2 linked regions of the Mus musculus genome follow. The protein of the gene in region 1 purifies or fractionates together with the protein of each later gene. This does not show direct contact. Links are inferred from orthologs where the notes say so. Each region holds a gene or a part of one and is shown on either strand. Other genes may lie near its edges. The genes, in order: Zcchc10 and Neurl4.

What was found.
Region 2: the proteins of Zcchc10 (region 1) and Neurl4 purify together in Homo sapiens (co-immunoprecipitation; 3 studies listed by BioGRID and IntAct, with this or other methods). This does not show direct contact. The link is inferred for Mus musculus from reciprocal best matches to the Homo sapiens genes ZCCHC10 and NEURL4.

Annotation. Positions count from the first base shown.
Region 1 is NC_000077.6:53,317,957-53,333,537, forward strand, and holds Zcchc10 (zinc finger CCHC domain-containing protein 10), read left to right. Parts: upstream 1-6,732; 5' UTR 6,733-6,744; coding exon 6,745-6,785; intron 6,786-9,312; coding exon 9,313-9,471; intron 9,472-12,730; coding exon 12,731-12,775; intron 12,776-14,345; coding exon 14,346-14,637; 3' UTR 14,638-15,345; downstream 15,346-15,581.
Region 2 is NC_000077.6:69,893,975-69,909,353, reverse strand, and holds the start of Neurl4 (neuralized-like protein 4), read right to left. Parts: upstream 7,539-15,379; 5' UTR 7,457-7,538; coding exon 7,169-7,456; intron 6,347-7,168; coding exon 5,902-6,346; intron 5,701-5,901; coding exon 5,635-5,700; intron 5,490-5,634; coding exon 5,191-5,489; intron 5,022-5,190; coding exon 4,910-5,021; intron 4,821-4,909; coding exon 4,732-4,820; intron 3,824-4,731; coding exon 3,751-3,823; intron 3,634-3,750; coding exon 3,369-3,633; intron 3,129-3,368; coding exon 2,947-3,128; intron 2,837-2,946; coding exon 2,751-2,836; intron 2,629-2,750; coding exon 2,466-2,628; intron 2,371-2,465; coding exon 2,172-2,370; intron 2,091-2,171; coding exon 2,014-2,090; intron 1,931-2,013; coding exon 1,852-1,930; intron 1,518-1,851; coding exon 1,342-1,517; intron 1,259-1,341; coding exon 1,127-1,258; intron 896-1,126; coding exon 750-895; intron 677-749; coding exon 452-676; intron 361-451; coding exon 262-360; intron 138-261; and 1 more. Other genes in the region: 2810408A11Rik (protein phosphatase inhibitor 2-like), read left to right, coding at 8,603-9,051, 9,544-9,648, 9,766-9,837, 10,067-10,155, 10,262-10,507, 10,944-11,102, 11,204-11,251, 11,600-11,743 and 1 more; Acap1 (arf-GAP with coiled-coil, ANK repeat and PH domain-containing protein 1), read left to right, coding at 14,016-14,068, 14,697-14,754. UniProt on the Homo sapiens protein: Promotes CCP110 ubiquitination and proteasome-dependent degradation. By counteracting accumulation of CP110, maintains normal centriolar homeostasis and preventing formation of ectopic microtubular organizing centers.

The sequences.
Region 1 (15,581 bases):
ATGACTGCTTGTGTCAAGTTGACACAAAACCGACCAGTACAATTAATTAATTAAACATTTATTTATTTGCATAAACAAAATTTATTTATATTATTTTACTTTATTTTTTAATGTACTTATGTTTTATTTACATATGAGTACAAGTGTCAACGTGTGCTTGTGGAGATCAGAGACCAATTTGTAGGAGTCAAATCGCTCCTTCCACCATATGGTTCAGGGGTCAAACTCAGGTCAGGCTTGTTGGCAGCAAGTGTCTTTAGCCTTTAAGAATTCTCCCTAGCCTGTGGCCACTGCTCTTTACAAAACAAATGTTCAGCCTGCTCTAGTCTCCACTATTTAACCAGGTTACTCAGCTGCTTGTCTGCTGCTATAAAAAGGCCCAAGTGGCCGGGTGTGGTGGCGCACGCCTTTAATCCCAGCACTGGGGAGGCAGAGGCAGGCGGATTTCTGAGTTCGAGGCCAGCCTGGTCTACAAAGTGAGGTCCAGGCAGCCAGGGCTACACAGAGAAACCCTGTCTCCAAAAACAAAAAAACAAAAAAACAAAAAAACAAAAAAAAACAAAAGGCCCAAGTGATGTCACAGCAAATGTTTAATTTGGTCTCAATTTTTTTTTTAAGATTTATTTATTATTATACATAAGTACACTGTAGCTGTCTTCTGACACACCAGAAGAGGGTGTCAGATCTCATTACAGATGGTTTGAGCCACTGTGTGGTTGCTGGGATTTGAACTCATGACCTTCAGAAGAGCAGTCAGTGCTCTTGCCTGCTGAGCCATCTCACCAGCTCACTTAATTTGGTCTTAAGACCTAGTTTTTTGTTCTGTTTTGTTTTTTGTTTTTTTGTTTTTCGGGTTTTTTTTTTTTTTTTTTTTTTTTTTTTTTTTTTTTTTTTTGAGACAGGGTTTCTTTGTGTAGCCCTGGCTGCCTGGAACTCACTTTGTAGACCATGCTGGCCTCGAACGCAGAAATCCACCTGCCTCTGCCTCCCAAGTGCTGGGATTAAAGGCATGCGCCACCACCGCCCAGCAAGACCCAGTTTTACTAGTTACATCACTGAGGTTTCTTGAAGTTACTGTTAACCAGTTGTATAAAAGAATAAAAGGGTCAAAACCCCATTTAAAAACCATCCTACCAACCTCGAGGGAAAAGATTAATTGTGAATTCTAGAAGTTAGTTCTTTCCTTTTACCACACAGGACCTGGAAATTGAACTCGGGCCTTTAGTGAGGGTGGCAGCAAGAATCTTTGTCTGCTGAGCCTTATCACCTTCTTCTGATCCTGATGGTTTACACTGTGCTCAGGATCTCACAGGGTCATCCAGAAACTTCTTAGTATTAGGAATGGCTATATCACCTGTAGGGACTGCAAAAGTAAAATGCAATGCCCCTTTGCTGGTGGTACACACCTTTAATCCCAGAACTTGGAAGACAAAAACAGGCAGTTCACTGTAAACTCCAGGCCAGCCTAGTCTACAGACTGAGTTTCAGGATACTCAGTGCTACACACTGTGTCAAAACAAAACAAAAAAGGAAGAATGTTGAGCTGCATGGTGCATGCTTTAATCCCATCAGTCGGGAGGCAGAGGCAGCCAGACCTGAGTGCTTTTGAAACCAGCCTGGTCTACACAGTGAGCTCCAGGATAGCCAGGGCTATGTCGCAAAAACAAAACAGCTAAAAACAAAACAAAACAAAGAGAATGACTAGAGGAAGGTAGCAGAACATGAAATAAGGTATGGGGTGTTCTTACTTATGGGGCTCTCTGGGACTGCACTATTCACCTCTCAAGAAGGTCTTCTCCTAAAACCAGGCACAGTGGCTCATAACTCTAATCCCTTGGGAGGGAGGCAGAAGGACCAGAAATCAAGGCCATCCTCACCTACATGGCAAGGGCCAGACCAACATGGACTTCATGCGACCCTATGTGTCGCTACCATCTCCAACCAGCAGAAAAGAAGCGACAAAACCGATGTCCTTCTCAAGGCAGTTGATTCAGGAACTTAACAATGTGCAGGAAAAAGAATTGCTGACCTCTCTCCGCCATCCCCCTTTATCCCCTCCAGTCCACTCCCCCTCAGCCCAGTCCACATAGGCACAGTTCGTTGGCTCAGGACTACATTGTCACATCATCTGATCTTACATCGTGGTGCATCTGCGCAATGCAGCTCAAGCTACGTGGCTATCTTGAGGGATATGATGAAGTCAGGTGCCAGTCATAAGACTTGGCAGCAGTCCCGGGCGCCATCTTGGGGCCACGGCCACACCCGCTCCTCACACCTATGTAAAAATCAAATATAACAAAATAAGAACCTAAAACAAAACAACAACAAAAAACCCAAAATTGGTCTTTTTTCCTGTTCAGCTTTCATCCTAACCACAGGAATATATAATAGGTCAGAAATGCAACTACCTGTGCCCCAGGCCTTTCCATTCTTCTCTGTTTTTATTAAGGCATCTTATAAAACCAGAATACACTTTAGGAGGCCACCCCAGAAAGAGTCTGCTTTGCCATGGCACATGCCTTTAATCCCAGCACTCGGAAGGCAGAGGCAGGCGGATTTCTGAGCCTGGTCTACAGAGTAAGTTCCAGGACTGCCAAGGTTATACAGAAAAACCTTGTCTCAAAAAAAAAAAAAAAAAAAAAAAAAAAAAGAAAGAAAGAAAGAAAGAAAAAAAGAAAGAAAGAAATTCTGTTTTATATCTACTTAAGTATTCACTCATGCTACATAGAAAATGTAGCTTATTCATGGTTTAAAATTTTTTTTTCAGCAGCATTTACAAAATCATTGTGTCCAAAATTTAGCCTTGTTCTTCTGGACCAAACCTCTGGAAAACAGATACATTAGGTTAGTCTTTCCCTGAGAATACACATAATTATTGTGTTTGGATACATGTGTGGTTAACCTCTAGGCTAAACTGTCTAGGAGGACTTTTAGTTAATGTTCATAGTCTTTTCAAACGATACAACCCAAATATTACAGCAAAAATATCGGCCTCCTCTTTCCTATTTATTTTTACCTCATTCTGTCTCTTGCACTCTCGTACTTGCTCTAATAGAAATCCTTTTAAAACTGGCTAACAAGGAAGGGCGATGATCCAGTGGGCAAAGCTGCCCACAGCCAAGTTGAACAACAGAGTTTAGGACTCATGGGGTGGAAGGAGAGAAATGGCTACAATAAACTGTACTCTGATATCCACACAAGTGTCAAGGCACACTTGTGTTCACACACATACACAATAAATAAATAAATAAAACCTTTTTAGAAATTAATAAGAGCAGGGTCCATACCTATTCCAGCACACAAGGGGCAGAGGCAGGCAGACCTGTGTGATTTTGAGGCCAAACTGACCTACACAGTGAGTTCCAGTATAGCCAAGGGTACATAATTAGACTCTGTCTATTAAAAAAAAAGTTTTAATATTATTGTTAATATTAGTTGGTGTTTGTATTGCTATGAAGAGACACTATGACCACAGCAACTCTTATAAAGGAAAACATGTTGTTGGGGCTGGCTTACAGTTTGTTTAATCCCTTATCGTCGTCACTGTGGGAAGCATGGTGGCATGCACGCAATGGTGTTGAGGAAGGAGCTGAAACTTTTTTTTTTTATTAGGTATTTATTTCATTTACATTTCCAATGCTATCCCAAAAGTCCCCCACACCCTCCCACACCCATTCCCCCACCCACTCACTCCCACTTCTTGGCCCTGGCGTTCCCCCGTACTGAGGCATATAAAGTTTGCACAACCAATGGACCTCTCTTTCCACTGATGGCTGACTAGGCCATCTTCTGATACATATGCAGCTAGAGACACGAGCTCTGGGGGGGTCCTGGTTAGTTCATATTGTTGTTCTACCTATAGGGTTGCAGATCCCCCCAGCTAGGAGGTGAAACTTAATCCACAAGCAGCAGCAGCTGACTGCCACACTAGGCTTACCTTAAACAAAGAGACCTCAAAGCCTGCCTCCACAGTGATACATTTCCTCCAACAAGGCCAACCTGCTCCAGCAAGGGCACACCTCCTAATAGTTCTACTCCCTATGGGCCAGCATTCATACACATGGGTCTTTGGGGGCCATTACTTTTCAAACCATCACAATTATTTAGTAGGAACCTTGAAAGTTTTATGCTGTAGTGTGTGTGTGTGTGTGTGTGTGTGTTGCTAGGGAGATGAAGCCAGGGCTTTTCACATGGTAGTGCAATACTCCTGGGAGCCTTAGCTTACTGGGGACCCCCTGAGTGAACCATGTGGAGCCAGGATCGATACAAAAAGCAAGAGGAATTTATTGTTTCAGTGAACTAGGGTCGTCCCAGACCCAAAGGAGAGGTTGCGACCACCAGTACCCTTTCAGGTGAGTTTTTATATGTTTTCCAGGGGCAGAATAGAGCATCAGCAACTAGGCACAATGTGATTGGTGGAACAGTGCACCCTTTAAACTGATTGGTCTTTAGGGAATGAGGTGACAAGGACTTCGCTTGTCTGAAGGTGAGCAATGGTCAGTCCTGCAGAATATGTCCCCACTGGCAGGTTTGTTCCTGCCCTGTGGTCTGAGAAATGTTAATTAACCTCTCCCTTCCGGAGGGCCAGAGTTTCATGACCTTCCCAAAGTTCCTGAGCTGAGCTTTTCATTAATGGCTATTCATGGTTGTCAACTTGACTATATCTGGAATGAACTACAATCCAGAACTGGAAAGCTCACCTATGATCCTAATCTGGAGGCTGGGAGATACATGTTTCTGACTTGGCATGGAGATCTTGAGGCATAGTGGCTATGAATCCCAGAAGATTAAGTCAGGGAGATCTCTGAGTTCAAGGTCATCTGGGACAAAGCAAGTCCCAGATCCAGGCATGATGGCACACACCTTTAATTTGGGCTACACCTTCTGCTGGAGACTATATAAGAACACTGGAAGAAGGAAGATTCTATCTTCTTCACCTTCTTGCCTCGTGGGGCTGAACTACTGCTAGATCCTTGGACCAATGTTGGGGAGTTGAAGTACAGACTGTAAGTCATCAAATTCTCTTACCCATGAGTTCTGTGACTCTAGAGAACCTAATACACACATACTGGGTAAAAACTCTACCACAGAGCTACATCTCAAGGCCCCAAACTTTCACTCAGGAAATTCATCTGAAGGGGGGAAGGTTGGAAGACGGGCAGATAAGAGGGGATGGGGAGATGAGCAGGCCTGGGATGCATGACGTGAAATCCACAAAGAATCAATTAGAAGTTTTAAAAAGATTTTATCTGGGAAAACAAATGCCTGAACGCAATAAGTCAGGTATGGGCTGGAGGAGGACTAATGAAGAGTGATTTGGTTTTGTAGATATAAAAAAAAATTTTTTCAAGACAGGGTTTCTCTGTGTCGCCTTGGCTGTCCTGGAACTCACTCTGGAGACCAGGCTGGCCTCATATTTGCTATATAGCCCAGGTTGGCCTTAACCTCCTTGTCCTCCTTTCTCTACATCCTGAATCCTGATTTTAGAAACTTGTGTCATAACTTGGGAATTAGACTAGCCTGAGCTAAGTTTCTGGCCAGCCTGAAAAATTAAAGATGTTATCTTTAACAATTAAAAAAAAAAAAAAAAAAAAAGAGGGGCCTGGAGAGATGGCTCAGAGGTTAAGAGCACTGACTACTCTTCCAGAGGTCCTGAGTTCAATCCCAAGCAAACACATGGTGTTTCTGTCTGGTCCTGTCTCCCTCTCCACTCCCCTTACCCCTCCTCCTCTCTTAAGACTCAACCAAACTGAGTAGAATTCAGAGATCTGCATGCCTGTGTCTCCTGAGTGCTGGGATTAAAGGAATGTGCCACCACACCTGGAACTAAATTTCTTTACCTGAAACTTTCTCTGTACCATGCTGGCCTGGAACTCATGTCTGTACTCCCATCACTTATGATTGATTCCTTTCCAGAGCAGCCATGTTGCTGGATTAAAATTCCTCTACACAGCCGGGCAGTGGTGGCGCATGCCTTTAATCCCAGCACTTGGGAGGCAGAGGCAGGCAGATTTACAAGTTCGAGGCCAGCCTGGTCTACAGAGTGAGTTCCGGGACAGCCAGGGCAACACAGAGAAACCCTGTCTCAAAAAAAGACCAAAAAATCCTCTACGCAGATCTTTGAAAGAAAAATCAAAAACAAAAAAAAAAAAACCAAAACAAAACAAAAAACCAACCAAACAACAACAAAATCAGAATGATCCAGTCATCATGACGACACCTGTAATTTCTTGGGGTTTTTGGTGTTTTGTTTTTTGAGACAGTTTGTGTGTGCAGCCTTGGTTTTCCTGAAACTCCCTGTGTAGATGAGGCTGGCCGTGAATCCCATCAAGTGTTGGAATTAAAGATGTGGGCCATTACTTCCTGGCCTTTTTGGTTTTGTTTGGTTTGGTTTTGAGCTAGGGCCATAAGTTTTCCCAGGTTGGCCTCAAAAACATAGCAATCCTCTTGCCTCAGCCTCCAAAATCCTGGATTACAGGATTTTTTTTTTTTAGGATTTTTTGAATACTACAAAATTCCACTGCATATGTATTACAGACCCCTGGTTTGAGATCACCCTTCAAGACCCTATTCATACTGAACACACAAGCCCACATTAGAAAAGACAAACCAGCTAGTGGCCACCATTAGCCTCTTCTGAATTGAGCCCGTCTGGCCCCGCCCAGGACCGCAGAGGTTTCTAAGGACCCGCCCACCGGTGCTAGTTTCCCAAAAACCCGTGCGGCAGACTCCAGCCGCTCCAAGATGGCGACTCCCATGCATCGGCTCATAGCTCGAAGGAAAGCGTAAGTGAGATGCTTGTGGGGTGTGCAGGAGGGCTGGGGGCGTGCAGACGCCTGTCCGCTAGCTAGTGAGCGGGCGCAGGCTGCTGAACTGAGCGGGATTTGAAGAGAGTTCGAAATGAATCCAAGAATTGGTCGTTGGGTGGTCTGTGTTCCTCTGTCCGGTCCACATGTCAAGGGTAGCCTGGATGCTTGATCCCACATCTTCCCTCTCAAGATCCCAAACTTTTCCCTCTTCAGCGTACCTGCCTCCTTCCTATCGCCCTTTCTAGAAACAAGCCTGTCTGCAATGCCTATTAATTCCCCATCGACCGTTTCACTTTCTGCAGCTCTCACTGTAAATAATTATTTTAGTACAATCACTCACAGACAGTTTCTCTGAAGAAAAATGTATTCAAGCTACGCAGCTTAACAGTTTTATTGTGGAACCTGTTGATACTCTAAACAAGTACAGCTAGTGGTTTAAATAGCTTTGTAGGAGCCGGATGGTGATGGTACATCCAAGCATTCAGGAGGCAGAGGTAAGCAGATTTCAGAATTCGGGGCCAGCCTGGTCTACAGAGTGAGTTCCAGGACAGCCAAGGCTACACAGAGAAACCCTGTCTCTCTAAAAACAAAACAAAGTTAAGCTTTAAAGGGGATAAGAGGCTGTGGTGAGGAAAGGCAAAAGGCCCAGTTCAAGTCAGTTCTAGAAATTCATCTGTGAGGGGTGACATTTGAAAACAGACTAAAAGCCATAGAAAGGACTGAGTCAGCAGAGGATTTGGGGAAAGATAGGAAATGGTATATTTGCTATGAGTCTGTTAGAATTTGGGGGTGGGTTGGGCAGATTTAGAGACAGGATTTGTCTGTGTAGCCCTGGCTGTCCTGGAACTCACTCTGTAGACCAGGCTGACCTCGAACTCAAGATATCTGACTGCCTTCAGTATGCTGGGATTAAAAGCTTGTGCCACCATGCCCAGTTTGAATCTCAGTAACTATCAGTCCTGGTGGCAGATGCCTTTAATCCAAGCACTGGAGAAGCAAAATCAGGTGGAGTAGCACTGAGTCAAAGCCAGCCTGATCTAAAGAGCAAACTGCAGGCCAGCCTCAGCTGTGTAGGGAGACCCTGTCTCCGAAAAGAAAAAAAACCAACCAACTCAATAACTACCCATTCAGTGGTGTAAGCGATGTAAGGGGCGGAGACCAGTTACTTGAACATGAATTTGAGTCCAGCCTGGGCAACATAATAAGACTTCATCTTAAAACCCTCCAGTAATGTCATACCCACTCTGCATGGCTGTGTGACATGCATGTCATGTTGTATTTCTCAGACCTATCAAAAGTCATAATACGAACCTGAAAGGAAACAGTTTATACATCTAATACCTGCATTGCTTCGCACTTTGCTTTTGACCTAAGCTGTGGTTTATGAGTTTAAAACCCGAGTGTTGGGCCTGACGTTGGTGGATTGTGCTTTTGATCTAAGCACTCAGGAGGCAGAAGCAAGTGGGTCTGTGAGTTCAAGGCTAGGCCAAGCTGGGTATGGTGGCTCACACTTTTAATCCTAGTATTGTGTGGCAAGTGTCTTTAACCCACTGAGCTGTCTCACCACCACCATTTTTTATTAGTAAGTTAAAAAGAATGATAGCCAGGCACAGTGGCACATGCCAGCACTTGGGAGGCAGAGGTAGATCTATGAGTTTGAGGCCAGTATGGTCTATAGATGGAGTTCCAGGGAAAAAAATCAAAAGCAGAATCAACCAACCAAATGAACAAGCTTTTTCATTTATGTGTGAATAGGAGTAGAGGTCAGAGGACAAGTCGTTGGGGGTCAGATCTTTGGGCTTACAGCAAACACCTTATCCACCCACCCTTTTCCCAGCCTTAAAAGTGTTTTAATGGGTTAGGGGGTCTGGCTCAGTAGTAGAGCATTTGTGAAGGAGGCTCTGAGTTTGATATCTAGCATTACAACAAATAAGGACCTTCATTATCCTTTGTCTTCTGAGCTAAAAATGTTGGTCCGAATACATGATTATTGGAATGGAAAAACTTAAAAAAATTTTTTTTAAAGATTTATTTCTTTATTATATGTAAGTACATTGTAGCTGTCTTCAGACACTCCAGAAGAGGGAGTCAGATCTCGTTACGGATGGTTGTGAGCCACCATGTGGTTGCTGGGATTTGAACTCTGGACCTTCGGAAGAGCAGTCAGGTGCTCTAACCCACTGAGCCATCTCACCAGCCCAAAATTTTTGTTTTTATTATTTTGCTTTGTTGAGACAGGGTCTCTTGCTCTGTAGCTCAGGCTAACTTTAAACTCAGAGCCATCCTCCCACATTGGCCTGCAAAGTGAAAGACTATAAGCATGAAATACCGGACTGGGCTTAGAAGAGCAAGACTCAGTTCCTGTTGCGCCCCAGGTTGCACGCTTTGAACACCGTTTGTGTGCTTGCTAGAGTCAACATCACGTGATACTTTAATGCTCTTCCAGGTCAGAAAGTGTCCCAAGACAAAACTTAAGGCTTGTATTCTGTTATTTTCTTTGTAGTGAAGCCAATAAGCAACATGTAAGATGTCAGAAATGCTTGGAATTTGGACATTGGACTTATGAATGCAAAGGGAAAAGAAAGTACCTACACAGACCTTCGAGAACGGCAGAGCTGAAGAAAGCTTTAAAAGAAAAAGAAAATAGATTATTGCTGCAAAGGTAGGTTTACATGTAATATCCAGGGGAACTTATAAAAATATTTACAGAATCAGCTGACCTCAAGTTTGCTGTCTTCCTGTCTCAGTCTCCTGAGTGCTGGGATTACAGGTGTGTACCGCCGCATCCAGCTTACAATGCTATCGGCTGGTTTTTAATGAGTGGCCACTCTGTGTCCAGGCCCTATGTGTCCTCTTTATAAGTCTTAGCATATTTAAACCTCAAACCTCTACTAATAAGGTAGCTATTATTAACCTCTTTGTATGCTCACATATATGTACCTATATGTATGTGAGCATGTACACACACACAAATTTTAAAAAATAATAGATCACTGAATTAATGCATGCTTTTTCCAAAAAGGAATCTGTAAGAACTTGTTTCTTGGTTTTCTTTTTTTGACTTCCTCCCCTACACCTTATAAATTCAAAATCTGGAGAGGCCCTTAGTCCCACCCAAAGGTCCTGTTGAGAACGGTGAGAGATGATGTCCCGTAGGCACTGGTCCCACTCTCACAAGACAGGGAAATCCTCACATGGCCAGTGAGCCGGGCTAGCATTTATGGAGTAGGAGTGTCAGGTATCAGGGTCATCCTTGGCTATATAGTAAGTCAAAACAAGCCCAGACTATAGAAGACTCTGTCTCCAAAGTTGACAAATAGGGCCAGGTATGGTGGTCCGATCTTTAATAGCACTTGGAAGGCAGAGGCAGGTGGGTCTCTTAATTTGAGGTCAGCCAGTGTTCTATAGTGACATCCTATCTTCAAAAACACCCCTTTCTCAAATTGACAAAAAAGACATTATAAAATTAAAAAATCTTTTGGATAGTAAAATCACTAAATGAGTGAGAAACAAAACAAACCAGCCTACCAATTGGGCTAGGATCTCTGCCTGCTAAGAACTGATATTTACAGTGTGCAAAGAACTAAAATCACTATACATGGAAATATTTTAAAACTTGGACTAAGAAATTTAATAGTTACAAAAACTACAAATGGCTGCGGAATATTTTTTTAAAGGTGTCCAACATCCTTAGCCACAGGGGAAAAGCAAGTTAGAACTAGGTTTATCTTCCGTCTCACCCAGTACAGAGTGGCCACCCGTCAGGAAGACAAAAGGGCAAGGACTGTGGTAAAGAGCAGCTTTACTCATTATTGATGGGAGTGTAAATTGGCACTGTGGCTGCTGTGGACATCAGTGTGGGCTGTAGAAGTAAAAAACAAAACAGAGCAAACCCTAAGTAGTCTCCATGTGACCCAGTTAGAGTATTCTGGGCATGTACCCAAATGGCCCTAATCCTACCACAGAGAAGCTTTAACTGCCATCTTTATTGCTGCTCCATAGCAAGCAAATAGAATCACCAGTGGGGAAAGGGGGGGGGGGCTTTAAGAGAGAGAGAAACAGGGCAGGTATGGAGCTCATGAGACTTGAAAGTCGAAAGGGCCATACGGGGATGGGAGTGTAAAAGGAAGATAAGAAGCAGAGCAGCAGGTAGAAAGACAGAGAACAAGCATTCTCACCTTAGGCTAAGAATGCAGCTAAGTGGTCAGGGCCCTGTTTAGCCTGCATGAGCCCTCCAGTACCACACATGTTCTCCCCCGTCCTCCTCTGTATGTGTGTGTGTGTGTGTGTGTGTGAGTGTGTGTGAGTACATTGTGTGGCTTTGATAAATTCTGTATCAAAACTTCATCTCTTTGAACAAATCATGTTTCTCAAGAATGAATGTAAAAATTAAAATTAGAAACTGAGTTAATACTAAACTTTGCCAGATTCTAACGATAAATATCTACTCAGCCAGTATGGTAGCTCACACCTTTAATCTCAGCATGCAGGAGGCAGAAGCAGGTAGGTTTCTATGATTTCAAGGTCTAACTGGTCTACATAACTAAACGTTACCCGGAGCTGTGTGGTCAGACCCTGTCTGGAATTAACTCATTATTCAGTTCTGCCAGGGCTGGAGTCTGGACACTGAGGATGGTCTAATGTTTGACCCTACCACTGAAAGCTTTTCCGTAATGTGGTCTCACAAAACAAGGCAGTGCCTGCCCCCAGCTAACAGAATCACCTTCTGTTATACCTCAGAAAGTGGAAATGGACACAGCTCCGCAAGCTTTGAAGGAGAATTCTCTGAGGAGATTGGTTAGAGTGAAGCCCGTGCTGGCTCTGTCTGTGGCAGGATCGAGCCTACTCTCCTCATCAGGGAGCAGAGACTCATTTGGGAAACCTTTGAGGTACAAGCACAGGGTAGAAGTCGGGCTGAGATGTAGCTCAGTTTGCAGAGTGCTTGCCTAGCATGCACAAGGTTCTGAGATCCATCCGTGACGCTGTGTAAGGGAAGCGGAGGGGTCAAGCGTTCAGCAGCATCTTCAGGCCTAGCCTAGGCTACGTGAGACCTTGTCTCAAAGAAGACAAAGAAGAACTTTCACTACTTAGAGTTGATCTGAAAAAGAAAAAAGTGAAATTGTATGAGGTATAGAGTGCTTGCCCTGCATGTACCAGCCCTGGACTTGAACCTGCACCGAGTATTGTAGTGATAGGAGCATTCTGTAGCCTGAAAGCTGGGCTGTGTGCGCTGATGGCGGAAACGCTGCTCACGCTCCCCTGCTCTCTGTGGGCTCAGGGAACAGCAGTCTTGCAGTGTTGAGTTTCCATGTCTTTGTTTTAAAACAATAACTAAAATTTTGGAAGCTGTGCAGAAATTAAATTGTTCTTTGTAAAAGTGTGAAATGGGCCGGGCAGTGGTGGCGCACGCCTTTAATCCCAGCACTTGGGAGGCAGAGGCAGGCGGATTTCTGAGTTCGAGGCCAGCCTGGTCTACAAAGTGAGTTCCAGGACAGCCAGGGCTATACAGAGAAACCCTGTCTCAAAAAAACAAAAAAAAAAAAAAAAAAAAACAAAAAAGTGTGAAATGGCCATGTGTAATTCTAGGAAGCCAGATTACAGCTGTTGTGCTGTTGTTGGCCTTGCTTGTTCAATGCGTAACTAAAGTTCTAAACAAAAAAAGAAACAAGTCTGTGCGTTCCATCACCTTAACTACTAACAGACTTTGATGTACAAGAGATAACGTGTGTTTTATCACAGAGTCGGCCACATGCACTGTGTACATCCTGTCCCGGGAGGAAAATGTTTGACTTGATTAGAGCAGGAAACCCTGTGCCCTTGAGCAAATGTGATGAAGAACAGAGCAGGTCTGAGGCTGGCAGAGGTGTCGCAGAGTGTGGTCACTTTATTAATCGGAGCTTTTGTTTCCCTTTGTCCCTTAGCATAGGAGAGACCAACATAGAGAAAAAGATCAAGAAGAAGAAGAGGTAGGTGACTCAATGACACTACCTGGGGGAGAAAGGCCGGTCTGAAGTCTTTGTTTGCAATTTTTTTTTTTTTTTAAGATTTATTTGTAGAAGCCAGCCTGGTCTACAGAGTGAGTTCCAGGACAGCCAGGGCTACACAATGAAACCCTGTCTCAAAAAAAAAAAATTATTTGTTTTATATAAGTGAGGACATTGTCACTGTCTTCAGACACACCAGAAGAGGGCAGCGGATCCCATTTCAGTTGGTTGTGAGCCACCATGTGGTTGCTGGGAATTGAACCTCTGGAAGAGCAGTCAGTGCTCTTAACCACTGAGCCATCTCTCCAATCCCTGTTTGCAAATTTTGATTTTCATTGTGTTTTCAAATATTTTCCTCTTATGTGGAATTTATTGGCTCCGTTTTTCCTTTTCTATAACATTCTAAAATCCTTGTCCCTACAAGACTTTGCTAAAGAGGACTGGAAAAATGGCCCAGTTAGTAAAGTGCTTGCCATGCACCTAAGCAAATAGCTGGGAGCAGCAGCGGCAGGGGTTTGTGCAGCCACAGTGCTGGGGAGGTAAAGATGGGTGGACCCAGTGACTCACTGAGCACCCAGCCCAGCTGAGTCAGTGTGCTCCACGTTCCAAAGTGTAGAGCGACTGAGGAGAACACCTGATGACTGCTGCTCTTCGTACACAAACATACATGTATGCATATTGACATGTACTTGTGTGTGCACACATACCACATAAAGACTTAAATGAAAATTAAATGGTTTTTTAGTCAAGGCACGGTTGCCCTGGCTGGCCTGGAACTGGCTGTGTAGACCGGCCGGGCTTCAGTCTCAGAGATCTGCCTGGCTTATTTGGGTTCTTTCATTGTTTGGTTTTGCTTTTGTTTTGTTTTTACATGTATTTTATGTGTATGTGTGTATAGGGATGCCTCTAGATGACAGAAGTGGACATTGGATCCCTTGGAGCTGAAATTACTGGTATTTTTGAGCTGCCAGATATGGGTGCTGGGATCCGAATTCCTTGACAGGCCTCTGACAGACAGAACAGTAAGGCCCCTAAATGCTGAGCCTTCCCTTTCTTTAGCTCTTGTTTTATTTTCTGGAGACTAGATCTCACTTTGTAGCCCAGGCAGGTCTCAAACTCACGGTGATCCTCATACTTCAGCTTCTTAAGTGCTAGGGTTACAGCCACAGAGTGTGTGTGTGTGTGTGTGTGTGTGTGTGTGTGTGTGTGTGTGTGACAGACAGACAGACAGACAGACTAGCCTTGACCTTTCTGTGTTGCTGAGGGTGATCTTGACCTTCTGACCTTCATGCCTCTATCTCCTAGGATCATGCCTCTATCTCCTAGGATCCCGGGCTTGTGCCAGCATGCTCAGTATGACGTAGTATGGGAGGTACACCTTATGAGCTTATGAGAGTTGCTGAAATGACAGAGCTTGTAAAGGGTTTCAGAGTTAGGCAATCCCCAAACATCAGACCTAGGGCTGGCTGGCTGTAGAGGCTCAGCCTGAGCATCTCTGAGCTCCGAATTAAAATGTCAGTTTCCCATGTGTGCACTTTGTGTGACTTCATAGGTCTAAGAGTGTCACGAGTTCCAGTACCTCTAGCAGTGACAGTTCGGCCAGTGAGTCTTCATCAGAGAGTGAGACATCCGCCTCATCCTCTTCAGAAGACAGTGACTCAGATGAAAGCCTCTCTAGCTCCTCCTCCTCCTCCTCTTCCTCGGCCTGTTCGTCTTCCTCTTCCTCCTCTTCCTCCTCCTCCTCCTCGGACTCGGACTCCAGCTCGTCCAGCAGCAGCAGCAGCAGCAGTTCTGAGAGCAGCTCTGATGATGAGCCACAGAAGAAGAAAAAGAAGAAGAAATAGAGCTCTGTACACCGGGACGGTGGACCCAAAGCACCTGTGACTCCCAGGGGAACTGAAAACCTGCTCAAGCAAGCAAGCCAGACGGCCAGAAGTGTTAAATAAAATCCAGAACTTTCCAAGTATTTACTATTGTATAGAATATTTAAAAAAAAAAGATGTTACATATATAAAGATGTTTATTTTAGGAATGAATATGGGTTTTTGCTGTTGCTTTTCTTTTTGTAAAGACTGGGTCTCATTTTGTAGGTCTAGCTGGCCTTGAATTTGATATGTAGAGGAGACTGGCCTTGATTTCAGAGAGATCTTCTAATGTTGGGACTAAAGATATGTGCCACCATGCTCAGCTTTTGTTTTTAACTTTTTTTTTTAAATATTTGAAGTCTATCTGTAGTACATAATCAAAATTGAAAACCAGGAAATCTATTTCATTGACAGGCAAAAGTCATTTTTTTCCTGCCTTTGAAATGAATGCTTTATGTGGGTATATGTTACAGTGTGTATGGGACAGTCTTTGACTGTACTGTATCAGAATATCAAGAAGTTTCTTGTTCTCTTTTGCCTGTGTTTATTATGTGAGATTTAATGCATTGTTATTATAAATGGTTTTCCTACTGTTAATAAATGTGCTCTATTTTTATGTTTGTATCAGAAAATTCTGATTTTTCTATTCTGAATCTATAAAATCAAAGAACCCCATACAGAACATTGGAATGATGTAAGTTTCAAGTTTTTTCTTTGTTGTTGTTTTTTTTCTTTATTCTTTAAGATTTATTTGTGTGTGTGTGTGTGTGTGTGTGTGTGTGTGTGTGTGTGTGTGTGTACACGTGCCTACGTGAGTTCATGTGCCACATTTCTGTGATAGCATGTAGAGACCAGAGAGGGCATAGGCCCCCCTGTAGTAACTGGAGCTGTAGGTAGGTAGGTAGAAACTGCCACGTGGGTGC
Region 2 (15,379 bases), about 17 Mb from region 1:
TCATCTTCCTCGACCTCACTGCCAGTGTCTGAGCTGGGAGAAGGCGGCTGGGTGCCTTCTGGTTCCTCCAGCCTTGTGGAGCTGACAATGGCCACACTGCGTACTGGCCCATACAGATCCAACACAGCCCACACATTCTGGGAACAGACCAAGGAAGCAAGTCAGAAATCAGCACAAGAAAAAAAAAAAAAAAACAGAAATCAGCACAAGAACTCCAACCAACTAGTACCTCCCCAAATTCAAAGAAGCTCTTAGATCTACCTTGGCAATGCCAGCGGCAGCAGGCCCCATATCTTCTCCATCTACCAAGATGTGCATTGTGTCATCTGCACACCGACGAATGCCCACACGGCTTCCCACCTAGATCCAAGGTTCAACAAGGCCAGCTCAGTGATCTGTCTCTACTCTCACCCCTAGCCCCCACCGCCTGCTCCAGTGCCAGGTGCTTCACCCCTAGTCTCTCGAGGTTCCGGCCATAGTTCATCCTTTGGAGGTGCCCATCACGCCTCACTTCACAGCTGGACACCATCCAGGTGGTCTTTGTCCGGAGTTCAGGCAAGGAAGGAGGCAGCCCTGGACCACTGCCCGCTCCAGGCCCCATGTCCTCTGGTGCAAGTGTGGTCAGCCCCAGCCGGAGGGAGCCTGCCCACTTCTCGTCTAGCTCTTCCACTTTCACCTGTGAGAAAGCAAACATTGGGTGGTCCTGTCTGACGGGCTGGTAAAGCCCCTTCTACTTCTCTGCAGCCCACCTCAAAAACTTCTTCAGCCTTGAGCTCTTTGGTGCTGAAAACGAGGCCATGTGCGTAGCCAGCCACACGGACTGCCCGTGTGCCATCCTCCTCCAGAGTGACATTCTTGCCACACATGCTATGGAATCGGTGAGCCACACCCGCCACTGTGGAGAGATGTTTGGTAAAGGGGTAGGGTTAGGTGACTACCTTCAGACAGGCTGCTGGTGAAGCTAAGGCCCCATCTGCCATGACTCAAGACCTCTGGACACCTTGCACCACAGTAAGACTCAAGATGCCCAGTACATGGTATGTTAGACTCTGGGAGTCAAGGAGATTATGAGACTCTGTGTCTCAGATATAAGTACCCCCCTACTCACAAACTCCTTAAGCAATACCTGGGGAATGCAAGGGGAATGACTTCTCAGTGGCAGTATTGCTGGTGGCCAGGCTGTTGTCCATGGGGCCGGTAGCATTGGTGATAGACACTTGGACACACTGGCCATAGAGATCCACAACTGCATACACCTCTGTGTAGGAAAGAAGGCATCAGAAGCCTGAGGGCCTGATCCATCTGAGCAAAGGGGGGCAGGCTGGAAGCCAGAGTAGTCACCTTTACCCGGAGGCAAGCCTGAGCAGGCAGCGCCTTGGTCCTGTCCATTAATGAAATAGTGCAGATCACCCTTGGCAGTTCGCATCATGCCAATTCGTGCACCTGTGCCCAGCGCGTCCAGATCACACCCATAGTTGTTGCGCATCGTATTGCCATCTTGCATGATAGCTGTACCACTGAGAAGACAGGAGGAGGGATTTAGCTTCCCTGCCTCATCACTAATTGGCCCCTACTCGGTCTCTGCCTATCAAAACCATCCAGTGTTATGGACATCAGGCACAGAGACTTGACCTTAGTCTGAGGCCCAGTTCTGTCTTTGTCCCTAGAATTCCCACAGAGAAAAGCAGGAACTGCTCTGTGGGCTACTTGGGTGGGAATTCTCAGAACTGAGGAGAAAGGATATTAGGTTCCAGAGTCTTTCAGTCCTATAGCCACCACAGGCTTAGTTGTCTGATATTACCCAGCTCCAGCCATCCCTGCTAAGCTGGATTCAAGGTTAGACGGCCTAACCTCAGCATCCACGTATCATAGTCAATGTCTGTCATGGTGTTGGGAAATTCTAGGTCTTCCGGCCGAATAGCAGTAACTCCTAGGAGAAAACACAAGGTAAGAAGTGATCCCGAGGACCCAGGGATCCTGTACCCTACAGTCCCTGCACAGAGGGTCCCTCACCAGCTTCGATGGAGCCTGACCAACGATCTACCATCTTCTGAATGACAATTTCAAACAGTTCTCCATCCCGCAGGGCTCTGTCAGGGAGAGTGGGGATCACTAAGGCCCTACGTAAGTAGGCAGTGGGACAGTAGAGACACGAAAATCTAGAGACTGACCGGTTGGAAATGACAATGGCATCGTTGAACTCGCTGCGGCAGTTGTGGCGGAGAGCAGTGCGGCCACCATTGGTGATGACTGCATTACTGCCGTGCAGCTGGTGGAAGCGAAGGTCAGAGCCCCCAGCTGCTGAGGATGGAGAACTGGGAGACATCTGGTTGTTTCCTTCAGGGAGTGGCTCAGAGACTGGAGGCACCTCTGCAATAGTAGATATCACCCATTAAGTCTCTAGGTTTCTTTAAGGATTCCCAAGGCCACCCTAATCCTCTACCCCAGCCCTGTCGGGCCCTCACCCACGTCATCCACAATAGTAGCCTGGGCAGCCTGGCCGTAGAGATCAACAACAGCATAGACCCCCGGGGGGACATTCCAGGCAGCAGGGCCCTGAGTCATCCCATTGACGAAGAAGTGGAGCGTTCCATCCTCCCGCCGCACCACACCCACGGTGTCCCCTGCCTTGGAAAAAGTGAGGCTGGAGTGAGGAGTCAGGCAGAGTTCCTGCCTGAGATGGCCCTGCATCTACCAAGCCTCCCTGACTCCCCCAGAACTATATCCAATCAGTATGACTGCTCTCTCACCTTGAGGCGGTCCAGGTTGTGCCCATATTCATCTAGGATGGTTGTCCCATTGTGCATGACCCCATTCCCAGTCATCATCCAGGTCCCTGTAGGAACAGCAGTGGCAGCAGATAATGAGGAACAAGGAACAAACTGTAACCCTGGAGCTGCTGCTTCTCTGGCACCCTGCATCGACCCTGCCCTTCGTGGGGCTCACCAGAGCGTAAGTTGGTCATAGTAGAGGGTAGCTGGAGGTAGGCAGGGTTATGGGTGGTGACACCAATCTCAATGGAGCCAGCCCATTTGTCCACCATCTTGTCAATGCGCACCTGGAACACCTCTCCATCCCGGAGGGCTCTGCTGCTCAGTACCACGCCATGATTGAAGTCATCAGTGGCACTGGGGACACAGCAAGTGAGGACTCAGCTCTCAGCATACTGAGTGTGTCAAGGCTTAAACTAGGAATATTAGTCTGATACCCACTGCCCCAAGACAACCAACCAGATCTCTTGCTCCCAGAAGTCTTCCCCTTTCTGTCCAGGGCTTCCTATAACAGACACCCTCCCATGTTCCCACCTCAGTGCCCCCGCATCCTATTAGGGCCCCCTTGCAGGTGTCTTCCCATCCCATGGGTCATACTGGGGCCTCAGGGCAGTGCGTCCTTCGTGGGTGATAGCTGCCTTCTGGCCACAGTTAGGATGGAAGAGCAAGCGTTCAGGTTCTGCCTGGGCTGCAGGGGCAGCACGACGAAGAGCACCCTCGGGGGACAGAGCCCTCAGGATAGCGTTGTTCCGGCGGAGACGGTCACTGTGGTTGTTATTATGGACGATGGTCACTTTCACTGCCATTCCATACAAGTCTACTACACCATATACAACTGGTGGTGTCAATGGAGTAGCTACGCCTGTAGCAGAACAGGATGAAAGAAGAGTCAAACAGGAAGAGCAAGCACCACAAGGAAAGGTGAGGTATGACCCACTAAAGGCCCTGAGCCAGGAGTCTTTCTTGTGTGCCACCTTACCCTGATCGATGCCATTAATGAAGAAGTGTAGGGCAGAGTTGGACTTCCTCGTGAGGCCAATATGGTCACCCTCCTAACCAAAGAAGAAAGACCCTAGTCTGGAATTCAGCTACACTCAGGCTCAGGTTCCAGCAGTCCTGGGCACTTTCTGCCACCCCATTTCACAGGAGACCACCCACTGAAGAATTTCAAATAAAGCCACTCTTGGGCAGGAGCTGGGTCCCTGCTTTCCAGACACAATAATTCCACATTTCCTAAATGCCCAATGTAAAGTAGGTACTAAATTAAACTTTTCTTTTAAAAAGATTTAAATATTTCATTTATGTGAGTACATTGTAACTGTCTTCAGACACACCAGAAGAGGACATCGGATCCCATTGCAGGTGGTTGTGAGCCACCATGTGGTTGCTGGGAATTGAACTCAGGACCTTTAGAAGAGCAGTCAGTGCTCTTAACCTTTGAGCCATCTCTCTAGCCCTAAATTAAACTATTTTAAAAACAATCTTGGAGCTGGTGAGATGGCTCAGCGGTTAAGAGTGCCGACTGCTCTTCCAAAGGTCCTGAGTTCAAATCCCAGCAACCACATGGTGGCTCACAACCATCTGTAATGAAATCTGATGCCCTCTTCTGGAGCGTCTGAAGACAGTTACAGTGTACTTACATATAATAAATAAATAAATTAAAACAACAACAACAACAACAACAATCTTTTTTGTTGTTGTTGCTCTAAAATCTCGGCCTACTTAGTGCTATTGGGCTAGAGCTGTAACTCAGTGCTAGAGCACTTGCCACACGTGTCCAAGGTCCTAGGTTCCATTCCTAGCACCAAAGGGAAAAAAGGTGCTACTAATGAGCATACCTTAGCTCCTGCCAGACGGCCTTGCCTCCTCAGAAGAAGCCTCATGCAGAAAGGGACACTGCCTGGTGGCCCAGGTGGCCGGGCTCCCCTGGACTGCCCAGGCTGCTGTGCTCCACACTCACCTGCAGCTCGTCCAGACTGAACTCGCAGTACTCCCGCCGAGTGCCTTTGCCGTTGGTCAGGATCCCACAGCCACTCATCATGATGGTGCCTGGTAAAGATGGACACCTGGTTAGGGAAAGGCTGTCTGGATCTCACCAACTCCAAGCCTGTGTCCCTACCCCTACCCAGAGCTGGTACCTGACTGCAGGTTGGTCATGGTGGCTGGGTACTCCAGGCTATTGGGGTTGTGGGTGGTGACACCAATCTCGATGGAACCAGACCACTTGTCTACAAGCTTGTCGATCCGGATCTGGGGTTGAGTGAGAGTAGACAGGTCCAGGAAATATAACAACAGAAGACAGGCCCTCAAAGCCTTGGTTCTTCACCAGTTGTTGGCATATTGCCGCCAAAGATCAATCCCTACGTTTAGCTCCAAATCTTTGGCAGGAAGCACAGTCAGACTCCAGGATTTTACATACCTCAAACATTTCATTATCCCGAAGTGGGCGGTTGGTCATGACAACTCCATTGTTGAATTCATCCAGGGGCCTCCGGCGCTCTGCTGTCTTATTGTTGTTGCTGAGTTTGATGAGGGTCCCACACTTCTCATGGAAGAGCAGGGCATCGTTGGAAGTGAGGATGGGAGAAGTGGCTGGCCCACTGGATGCCAGTCCGTCCCCTGCTGGTGGGGAGCTCAGGCTCACATTAAGGAGGCCCCCATTGTAGGCAGACAGGATGGCGTTGCTCACCACCTCAGACAGCTCCATACTGGCAAAGTCTGTAGCAGCAAGAAGAAGGAAGTCAAGACAGAGCTCTCTTCCCCACAGCCAGCTTGGGACCCTCTTCTCCCTACCGTCTCTTAGATCCCACCCTGTCCGCCTCAGTACCCACTCCCCTTCCCTGGCCTTCCCCGAAGCCCTCACCATTATGCGAATCAAGGCTGTTAGGAAACGTCTCCGGCCGTGCCTGCGCTGGGGACACCATGAAGGCTAGGGACCAGGTAGGATGGGAGGGGAATAGGGTTCAGCTCATGCTTCAGGGCCCAGTCAGGAGACCATCTCTTCTAACCCCTCTATTCCCCTGTAATGGCTCTGGGCTCAATGGTCCCTTCCCTCCCCCAGCTGACTTGTGACTGCTTTCGCCCCATTTCTTCAGCCAAAACTCATGTTTCCCCGAAGCTGTGTTCTCACCTTCATCCACAGAGGTCCCCTGTTCCAACAGGGCTGAATCTTCTGGAGGGGCCAAGGGCTCAAGGGGAGGTGTGGGGACAGGAGTGGGAGGGCTGAAGCCTGGCTCGGAGGGCAGCACAGTGATCTGGGTGCACTTGCCATAAAGGTCCACAACAGCCCAGACACGAGCAGGCAGGCCTGTGGCTGCCACACCACAATCCCGCCCGTTTACCCAGAGCCGGAGCTCCCCAGTGGCTGTGCGTTCCACACCCACACGGTCCCCTTCGACAAGCTGGTCCAGGTCCTGGCCATATTCCTCCAACACAGAGCGCCCGTCCCGCAGCACTGAGCAGCCTGACACTACCCAGGAGCCTCCCTTCAGCCCGGTGGCACTGCTCGGGAAGTCCAACACACTGGGATCCAGTGCTGTCACTCCAATCTCAATGGAGCCACTCCAGGAGTTGACCTATGAGAGGGTGGTGGACAGAGTTTCTGTATGAAATCCCATCACCAGAGGCCACATTCCAGAGCACCGTGTGCCTCTCACCCTGTCCTCTGAGGCCACTGACATAGACACACAAATAATTTTTGGAACTAGCCTCCATAACTACCAGGACCCACTGGCTCTCAGCATCTGTGTCTGCTGACACGTGTTTTAGCACATCACCCCCTCTACCCACTGAACAAGCTGGTTAAAGGCCCTGGTTTTAACCCGATCTCCTCTTACTTCCCAGTCTCTGTAGCTCCTCAGCCACTCCAATCCCATGCTTCTTAGGTCCACAATGCTCGCTCTCCTACATCACTCTCATTCCCAACCCCAATACTCTAGTAGGGCAAAGCTCCACCCAAATTCATTCTCTTCTCTTTCCAAATTCGTTTTGGAGTCAAGCAAGTCACATACACTCCCTTTTTCGCATGTCTCCTCATCTATCTTTCTGGTTTGGGACGTTTGTCAACAGTTTGCGCTTTTTATTATTTCTCTACTCTTCCATCTCGGGCACCTGTCAGTCTTCCATCCCTAAGAGATTGTGCTAGACGTGTTCACTAGCCATTCTAACCACCGGACCCTGGCTCCCTGTCCTGCGGGAAACGAATGCTCCTTCAGAATGAATGTGTCTGCTCCGTGTCCTTCTCCTTTCTCTTCCCCGGTGCACTACAGTGTGCCGGCTCGCTATCGGTACCTGGAGGCTCGGTTGGAGATGCAGACCTTCTGGCAGTCCTACCGCTTCTCCCTCCCGTCCCCTCCCACTCCCCTCCACACCTCGTTTCAGCTGCCCCGGCTTTGCACCTTGCGGTCGATGCGGACGGTGAAGACGCGTCCATCGCGCAAGGGTTCTCGGCTCAGCACCAGCCCGTGGTTAAACTCTTGGCCCGGCTGCTGCCGCCGCGCCGTGCGCCCGCAGGCCGACAGGCTGACCAAGCGCCCGGTGCGCGGGTGCAGCTCCCCGCCACCGCCGAGACCCCCGCCGGACCCCAGGCCTGGTCCGCTGCTGCCAGGGCCCCCACCCCCGCCGGGCCCCGGTCCTGGCCCGGGGCCCGCCCCAGAGCCCCCACTCCCACCCGACCCCGCCGCCATCGCCGCTGATACCGCGGCCGCGCGACAGCCGCGCTTGGCGGCACCGTGGCAACCGCGGCGGCCAGACGCCCTGGGGGAATACGGCCGGGGGGCTGGGGCCTGGTGTGCTTTACGGCACTGAAGCGTCCGCAGCTAAGGAACCGAGGTCTCTCACGAGGGGAACGGAAGGACGACGGGGTCGGGGGACTGCTTTACGGCCCAGCGGGACGACAGAGGCTACGAGAGCCGGGAAGATTTGGGCTGCTTTTGCGACAGTGGATGGCAGAATCGCCCGCCGCAGGCGTCTTTGCGACGAAGGCGTGCTGGCGCCCAGATACACTTTGCGACGTCGCCCGGCGCCTTGGACCCAACCCTTGTTAGGGAAAAGCGACATATTAGAGCATTCGCCTTAACGCAAGGGCTGGTGGCTTCCCCTAACACCGCACGCTTTAAGGCGATGGAAGTAAACGCTATCTTCGGGACAGAGAAAAAGTAGTTTTATAAATCCAAGTCTCAGCCCTTCACAGTGCCGAGGCCGGAAATGTCGCAATCCGATCACGCATCACACCTCTCCTTGACCCAGTCTCGCACCTCACCCCGCTCCGGCCCCACAGACTTTGCATCACACCTCTCCTACCCGCACACATTTCAAGGCCAACTTGAGCTCTGTGCCAATGAAACTCTTAAATCTTAAAAGTTACTAATAAAAATCCTAGCGGTGTCCCGTTGGGTAATCTCAAGGGACAGAGCGGACACCTCTGAGAGGTTACCTGAGAGCTATTAACAGAACCCAGCCCTACTCAGGCTCTCCCTGGTGTTGCGGGGCTGTGACATCACAAGGCTCCTCACCGCTGGCCAGGCCCCTTGACTGTGATTGGTTGATTCGGAGAAGGGCGGTGATGGAGAAGGGCGGGAACAAATTACAGAGACAAAGAAAGTCTTGGGGTGTAACAATAAGGGAAGGGTGTGCGGAGGAACTCCCAGGCTGAAGTCTGATAGTCGACCTTTCACCTGCCTCAGCGCCAGGGAGAAGAGGCAGAGGAGGTCCGGTCTGACCCGGAGCCCCCAGCGCCCACCGCCCGCCGCGATGGGGGCAGGGCCAACGGGCAGGGCTATGTGCAGCTAGAAGGGTAGGCAGTGGAATTGAAGTGGTTACCAAGTTGAGCTATGGAGAAGCCGGAGTCTCTCGCACCTGTTAGTGGCCTCAGTGCAGAATCCCCTGGGGGGGTTTCTAGGGCAGTACCTGGCAGTGCCAGAGGTATGCAAACAGACACCGGATTACCCCCCGGAGTAGCCTTGCTTCGCGGTCCTGGCTCCCTCTTGCATTCCGGGAACCCTGTAGTCCGCAGTCCTGGTCCAATTCAGCCCTCTGAAGGGGCAGTGACCCTCAATTCAGGACCCGCTCCGCAACTTCAGGAGGTTGCAAGCCTTGGGTCCAGCACATCCCCTGGCACTGGAACTGGTGCAACTAAGGCGTCCACCCCCGGGCCGGAGGAGGCTAAAGTGTACAGCTCGGAGAGTAGTACACACTCCGGGACATCTTTCACGGAGCGGCCTCGGAGCATCCTAAAAAACAGCAGCTCCATTTTGATAAAGAAACCCCCCGGTTCGGAGAAGTAAGCAACTCAGCTGGTTTTTTTTTTTTTTTTGTTTTTTTGTTTTTTTTTTTTTTAATGGTTTTAGAGCTTTATTGTAGAAAGGCAGGGGGAAAGAGCGAGGGAAGGAGGGCTAGAGAGTAAGAAAGGTGAGAGCTTAAATAGCAGCAACTCAGCTTTTAGCCAGCAGCCCTGAGACGGGAGGGAGGGAGGAGTTCAGGACACCTTGAGCTGAAGCCAAGAAAAAAACAGAGTCCCAAGGCCCTGGTTAGGGAGAGGTGGTGAGGTCAAATAGGTTGGAAATCTGAAGTTCCATGACTTGGAGAGGGCAGCAGGTGTCACAGGAATCCTGGCCACACAGCACTGATTATCACTGGGTATCTGGCTCCCATCCTAGCCTCTACGAGGGAATATAAGAAGAATTTTTTGAATGCCGGGAAGAATGAAGGAGACCTCTCTGTTAGGAGAGGGTCGCCAGAAGAGCTTCCTCCTTTGCTCCTTCCCTCACCTTAGGAAGTCTCAGCGCTGGGATGAAATGAACATCTTGGCTACCTACCACCCTGCTGACAAAGACTATGGCTTTATGAAGGCGGATGAGCCCAGAACCCCCTACCACAGGTGCTAAGCCCTAGCTTTTGAGCCTAAACTGTATTCTAACATGTGGCTATGAGGAAGAGGCAGAGAAGCCTCGGGGCACAAACACTGCCTCCTCCTCCTCCTCCTCCTCCTCTGCAGGCTGCAGGACACCGATGAGGACCCATCTGCAGAATCTTCTCTCAAGGTGACTCCTCAGTCAGTGGCAGAGAGGTGAGAGCCCTCTCAGAGATTAGTTGAGCTGTGCCCTCTGCCCTCATACCTTTGAAGGCAGTCTCAGATAGCTTTGTTCCTCAAACCCTAAAATGGTAGGTACTACCTACCTCCTCAGGCCTAACCAAAGCTGATCTAGGCAATCAGCAGCTTGGTCCCCACCCAACACCTACCCCCACCATCATTTTTTTTCCCTTCTGTACCCCCAACTAGTCTCCCTCCCCTTCAGGTTTGCCACAATGGACAATTTCCTCCCCAAGGTCCTCCAGTACGGAGACAACAAAAACTCAAAGGACACAGACAACTTTGCCAAGACATGTATGTGAGACGTGGGGTGGGTCTCGATGGACAGGGGAGCTTGGGTGGGGGGCAGCCCTTCTGTGAAGACCTTGGGGGAAAGCTAAGCTTTCACGCTGGCCCACAGACTCCAGTGATTTTGACAAGCACCGAAAGATACACTACAGTGAAGGGAAGTTCCTAAAGTCCCCAAAAAACCTGCCCACTGAGGAAGAGAGCATTGGGGCTAGTGCCAGCATCAGCAGCAGTAATCAAGCTGTGGCGACAGACCTGAAGCCTAGGCCTGTGGAGAAAGGCTGGGCAGGAAGACTGGCCACAGGAGTCAAAAATGACACTGTCCTGATGACTGATAGCCATGTCTTAAGCACCAACGGTTAGTGACAGGGGCCTCCTGGGGCTGCAGAGTGGAGACAAGAGACTCTTCCAGAGCCCAGATCTCCTTGAAATTTACATGTTTTCAAATCTGTTCTCTTTGGCTCTCTGCTCCTCACATCTCTGCTGTATTCTGATTTATTCAGAGAGCATTGGCCTACAGTCTTGCTCGTCTGACAGAGAGGCAGTGACTGGAGGGGACGCTAGGGAAGGAATGGGAACAACTGGAGCTGAGTCTCCACTGGGGGGGGGGGGGCCTCCAGAGACAAACTGAACAGAGAGATTAAGAGAACCCTTGGGGGATGGGGGTTCACTGAAGGCTTTTTAACATGGGGGAGGGGTGTTAGATGAGAACTTAAACTCTAATCCGGTAGTGGCCTGACTCAAAGGCAGAGCAGGTGGCCACAGGCTCAAGATTGTCTGGGGTACTTTTTCAGATTCTGCTACCTATAGAAACCAGTTCCCATCAGCCTCAGACTCTTCCATGGGGCAGCTGGCTAATCTACAGCGCAAGGAATACTACAGCAAAGGAAGGTATCTGAGGTCCGGCTCCCGCCCAGAGCTCGGAGAGGATATAGAAGATGAAGAACAGGATAGTGAGAGACTGGGGAGGATGGCCTGGGGAGGATGGCCCGGGGAGGACAGCCTGGGGGGTGGGGTGGGAGGACGGAACAAACTGTCCTCCTGTTACTTCCAGGTCCTTCAGGTTTGACCTGGGTTACTGAGAATCCGAAAGGCACTCCAGGTACTGTTGGAAGCGTCTTTGGGTATGACAAAACCATTTAGCGCTTTCTGAGCATAACCCTAACTCTAGTGCAACCTGGCAAGGGCACCATCTCTCTAGGCCTGGCTCTTAACAAGCTCCCATCTCCCACCCTCCCAATCCCTTTTAAGTCAGTGCATCAGCCACAGGCAGTAAAAGAGGTCTTAAACATCCTGGCGTTGATTGACTACATTATAGAGACCAGGTCCGAGTGATGCTCAGAGGGGTTGAGATCCCCTCCAGCCTAGCATCAGCCAAGGGCTCCATGCCTCCTCCTTGACTCCCCTCTGCCACCCCACCCCTCTCTAGTTAGTACTATGTCCTTCACAGTCAATGGGTCACAGGTGACGCCCAACTGTTGGGCTAAGGGGCCAAGGTGCCGAAGTCCAGGGAGCTCAGAAAAGGAACATGGAAGTAACCAGAACCCTCCAAGCTGGAATGGGCGCAGACGTGAGCCTGGGCCAAGGCAAGGGGGTAACTTGCACTGCCCAGGGAGGCAGAGGGGTTAAGTGGGTAGGTTCTAGAGATTTGTGGGTCACATGGACAAGAGCGTACCCCTGCTGCAAGAAAGCCTAACCTTTTCTTTCTCTAGATGAAAGCTTGCGGCTCCAGTGGACTCAGAAAAAAGAACGTAGACCTTGGAAAATGTAGTCAACGAGGAGTGGGGTGAGGGTTGCCTTCCCTGTCTCCACTCTAATGGACAATAAAGAGAACATCAGGAATCTGAGTGCTGGGAGCTGCGTGTCCAGACTGGGCCTGCTCTGGGAGCCCAGGAGAGCGGGAGGGATGTCCAGACACAATAACCCGGGAAGGCAAAGCAAGAGGAGGAACAGAGCAACCCAAGGAACTGTGCTCCTGGGAGCAAGCACTTAGGGGCTAAAGTAGCAAGGTCACAAAATCAAGCACAGTCTGTTCTACGAAGTGAGAGCCTGCTTCAGAACACAAAACAAAACCAGGGCTTTAAAAACTCACTATTGCCCGACGTGGTGGCACACGCCTTTAATCCCAGCACTTGGGAGGCAGAGGCAGGCAGATTTCTGAGTTCGAGGCCAGCCTGGTCTACAGAGTGAGTTCCAGGACAGCCAGGGCTACACAGAGAAACCCTGTCTCAGAAACAAAAAAAAAAAAAAAAAAAAAAAAGAAAGAAAAAGCCAACAACAACAACAAATAAAAACTCACTGTTGGTTTATTTGGTTAACATGGTACACCTGTGGAGGTCCGAGGTTAGAGGAACTTTCCATAATAAGTTCTGCTAGGGTTTCTGGGGTCAAACTTGGGTTGTCAGACTGGATGTGTGAAAAACACTTTTACACAGTGGGCCACTTTGCTGGTCCCAAAACCTAGGGTCTTGAAAAGGCCCAACCTTGCAGCAGAATGTCCATGTCTGATAGAATCAGCATACTGTACATTTATTAACACCATCTTTGAGGCAGGGTGTACTGGCTGGTTTTGTGTGTCAACTTGACACAAGCTGGAGTTATCACACAGAAAGGAGCCTCCCTTGAGGAAATGCCTCCATGAGATCTGGAGAATCCATGTAAGGTATTTTCTCAATTAGTGATCAAGGGGGTAATGGCCCATTGTGGGTAGTGTCATCCTGGGCTGGTAGTCCTGGGTTCCATAAGAAACCAAGCTGAGGGGTTGGGGAGATGGCTCAGTGGTTAAGAGCACTGTCTGTTCTTCCAGAGGTCCTGAGTTCAATTCCCAGCAACCACATGGTGGCTCACAGCCATCTGTAATGGCATCTGACACCTTCTTCTGTTGTGTCTGAAGGCAGCTACAGTGTACTTATATATAATAAATAAATTTTAAAAAGAAAGAAAGAAGGAAACCAAGCTGAGCAAGCCAGGGGAAGCAAGCCAGTAAGTAACATCCCTCCATGGCCTCTGCATCAGCTCCTGCTTCCTGACCTGCTTGAGTTTTAGTCCTGACTTCCTTTGGTGATGAATAGCAGTGTGGAAGTGTAAGCTGAACAAACCCTTTCCTCCCCAATTTGCTTTTGTGCAAGAATTGAAACCCTGACAAAGACACAGGATTTCTCTGTGTAGACCTGGCTGTCCTGGAGCTCACTCTGGACCAGCTGGCCTCAGACTCAGAGATCCACCCACTGAGTGCTTGGATGAAAGGCGTGCGCTGCCCCTCGCTTTTTTGTCTCCCAGATGAGGGAACTGAAGGGTCAGAGAACTTGTTCAGTGTCACACTGGTTTTTGTGTAGACAGGGTCTCGCTGTGTAGCCCTGGCAGGCCTGTGACTTGCTCTGTAGATCACACTGGCCTTGATCTCACAGAGATCTGCCTGTCTCTGCTGTAATTAAAGGCATGTAGCACTATGCCCAACTAATCACACAAAGTCTTAAGTGACAGAGACAGATTTGACTCTAGACCATCATTTCCCCCTCAAAAAATTTATTCACCAATGGAGAAAGCAGCAGAGAAAGACCAGTGTCCCAGATGGAAGGTGACAGCAGGCAGTCTCTGGGGGAGGGACTGTGGTTTCTGTGATCTCAGCACCCCCCTCCGCCCAGGCCCCACCCCTACCCCTCCCAGAGCTGCCTAGAAGTGGTGGGGTTAGAGCTCCTCCTGGGTTACCCCGTTCCCTTTGGGGAAAGAATTCCAGACCCAGGCTCTTCCTACCAGAGGATTCTTCTCCATTAATACCCCTCTTGGGGGGTGGGGAGTGCATCTGCCTACATCCCCACCTACCTGACCTCCAGGGCCCCCCAGGCCCCCAAAGCAAGTCATCTGAGATGACGGTCAAGCTAGATTTTGAAGAATGTCTCAAGGACTCACCCCGCTTCCGGTAAGTGTGTGCAGGTCCATGAGACTAAGGAGGGGAAGGAAGGCCCAATAGGTCCCAACACCCACCCACCCACCCCCAGCATTCCCCAGGCAGGACCAACCTTAGAGCCTAGGCCACAGGGACCAGAGGGAACTGGTGGGACCTAGTGCCTCTACCACTCAAGCCAGGCTCTCAAATCAGGCATGGAACCCCAGCACTTGGGAGGCTGAGGCAGGAAGGTTGTTAAGTGTTCCAGGCTAACCTGGGCTACAGAGTAAAAAAAAAAAAAAAAAAAAAAAAAAAAAACCCTTTAATAACAGAACCTCCATGCTCTCCGAAGCTCACTTTACTCTGCCTTTCTGCCCCTTCTGGTCTTTATAATTGGCATTCCTCCTTCCTTCTCACGGCATCCCCTCCCCCAGCACCTGCCCCGGGGCGGTTAGCAACTTCCTGCCCTGGCCACATCCACCCTCCTACTCTTCCTGCTCTGGTCTGGGTTATTGAAGCTTAGAATGTGCACAGCAGCACAAGAGCAGAAACTGTCTGGACTCTGCTTGGTCTGTGCATACCCATCACCCCATGACGCCAACCCTGCCCCTGATGCTAAGCAGAGGCCCAGTGGACCTAAGTGCTGTCCATTCTTTCCCAGAGCCTCGATTGAACTGGTGGAAACTGAAGTGTCAGAATTGGAGACCCGCCTGGAAAAGGTGACCACGTCATGGAGAAAAGATGCAGAGTCAGATTAAAATAAAAGATTAGAATAAAATTAAAATAAAAGGTCAGGGAGATGGCGGGAGACTGGGAATGCGTTAGAGTCATTGAAAGTTAACTGTGCCTGGCACACACACACACACACAATTATATTTAAAATCTGGATGTTGCTGGGCGTGGTGGCGCACGCCTTTAATCCCAGCACTTGGGAGGCAGAGGCAGGCAGATTTTTGAGTTGGAGGCCAGCCTGGTCTACAAAGTGAGTTCCAGGATAGCCAGGGCTACACAGAGAAACCCTGTCTTGACCCCCCCACCCCAAAATCTGGATGTACTGGCTCATGCCTTTAATCCTAACACTGGTGAAGCTGAAACAGGCAGATCTCTGTGAGTTCTAGGCCAGCTAGGGCTAAAAAAAAAGCTGGGAATGGGGCTGCGTACCCAGATCCCAGCACTTGGGAGGCAGAGGCAGATGAATCTCTTGTGAGTTCTAAGATAGCTTGGTCTGTTTACATAGTAAGTTCTAGGACAGAAGAGAAACCCTGCCTGAAATACATACATATATGTGTGTGTGTGTGTGTGTGTGTGTGTGTGTGTGTGTATGTAAATTATTAACATATTAAT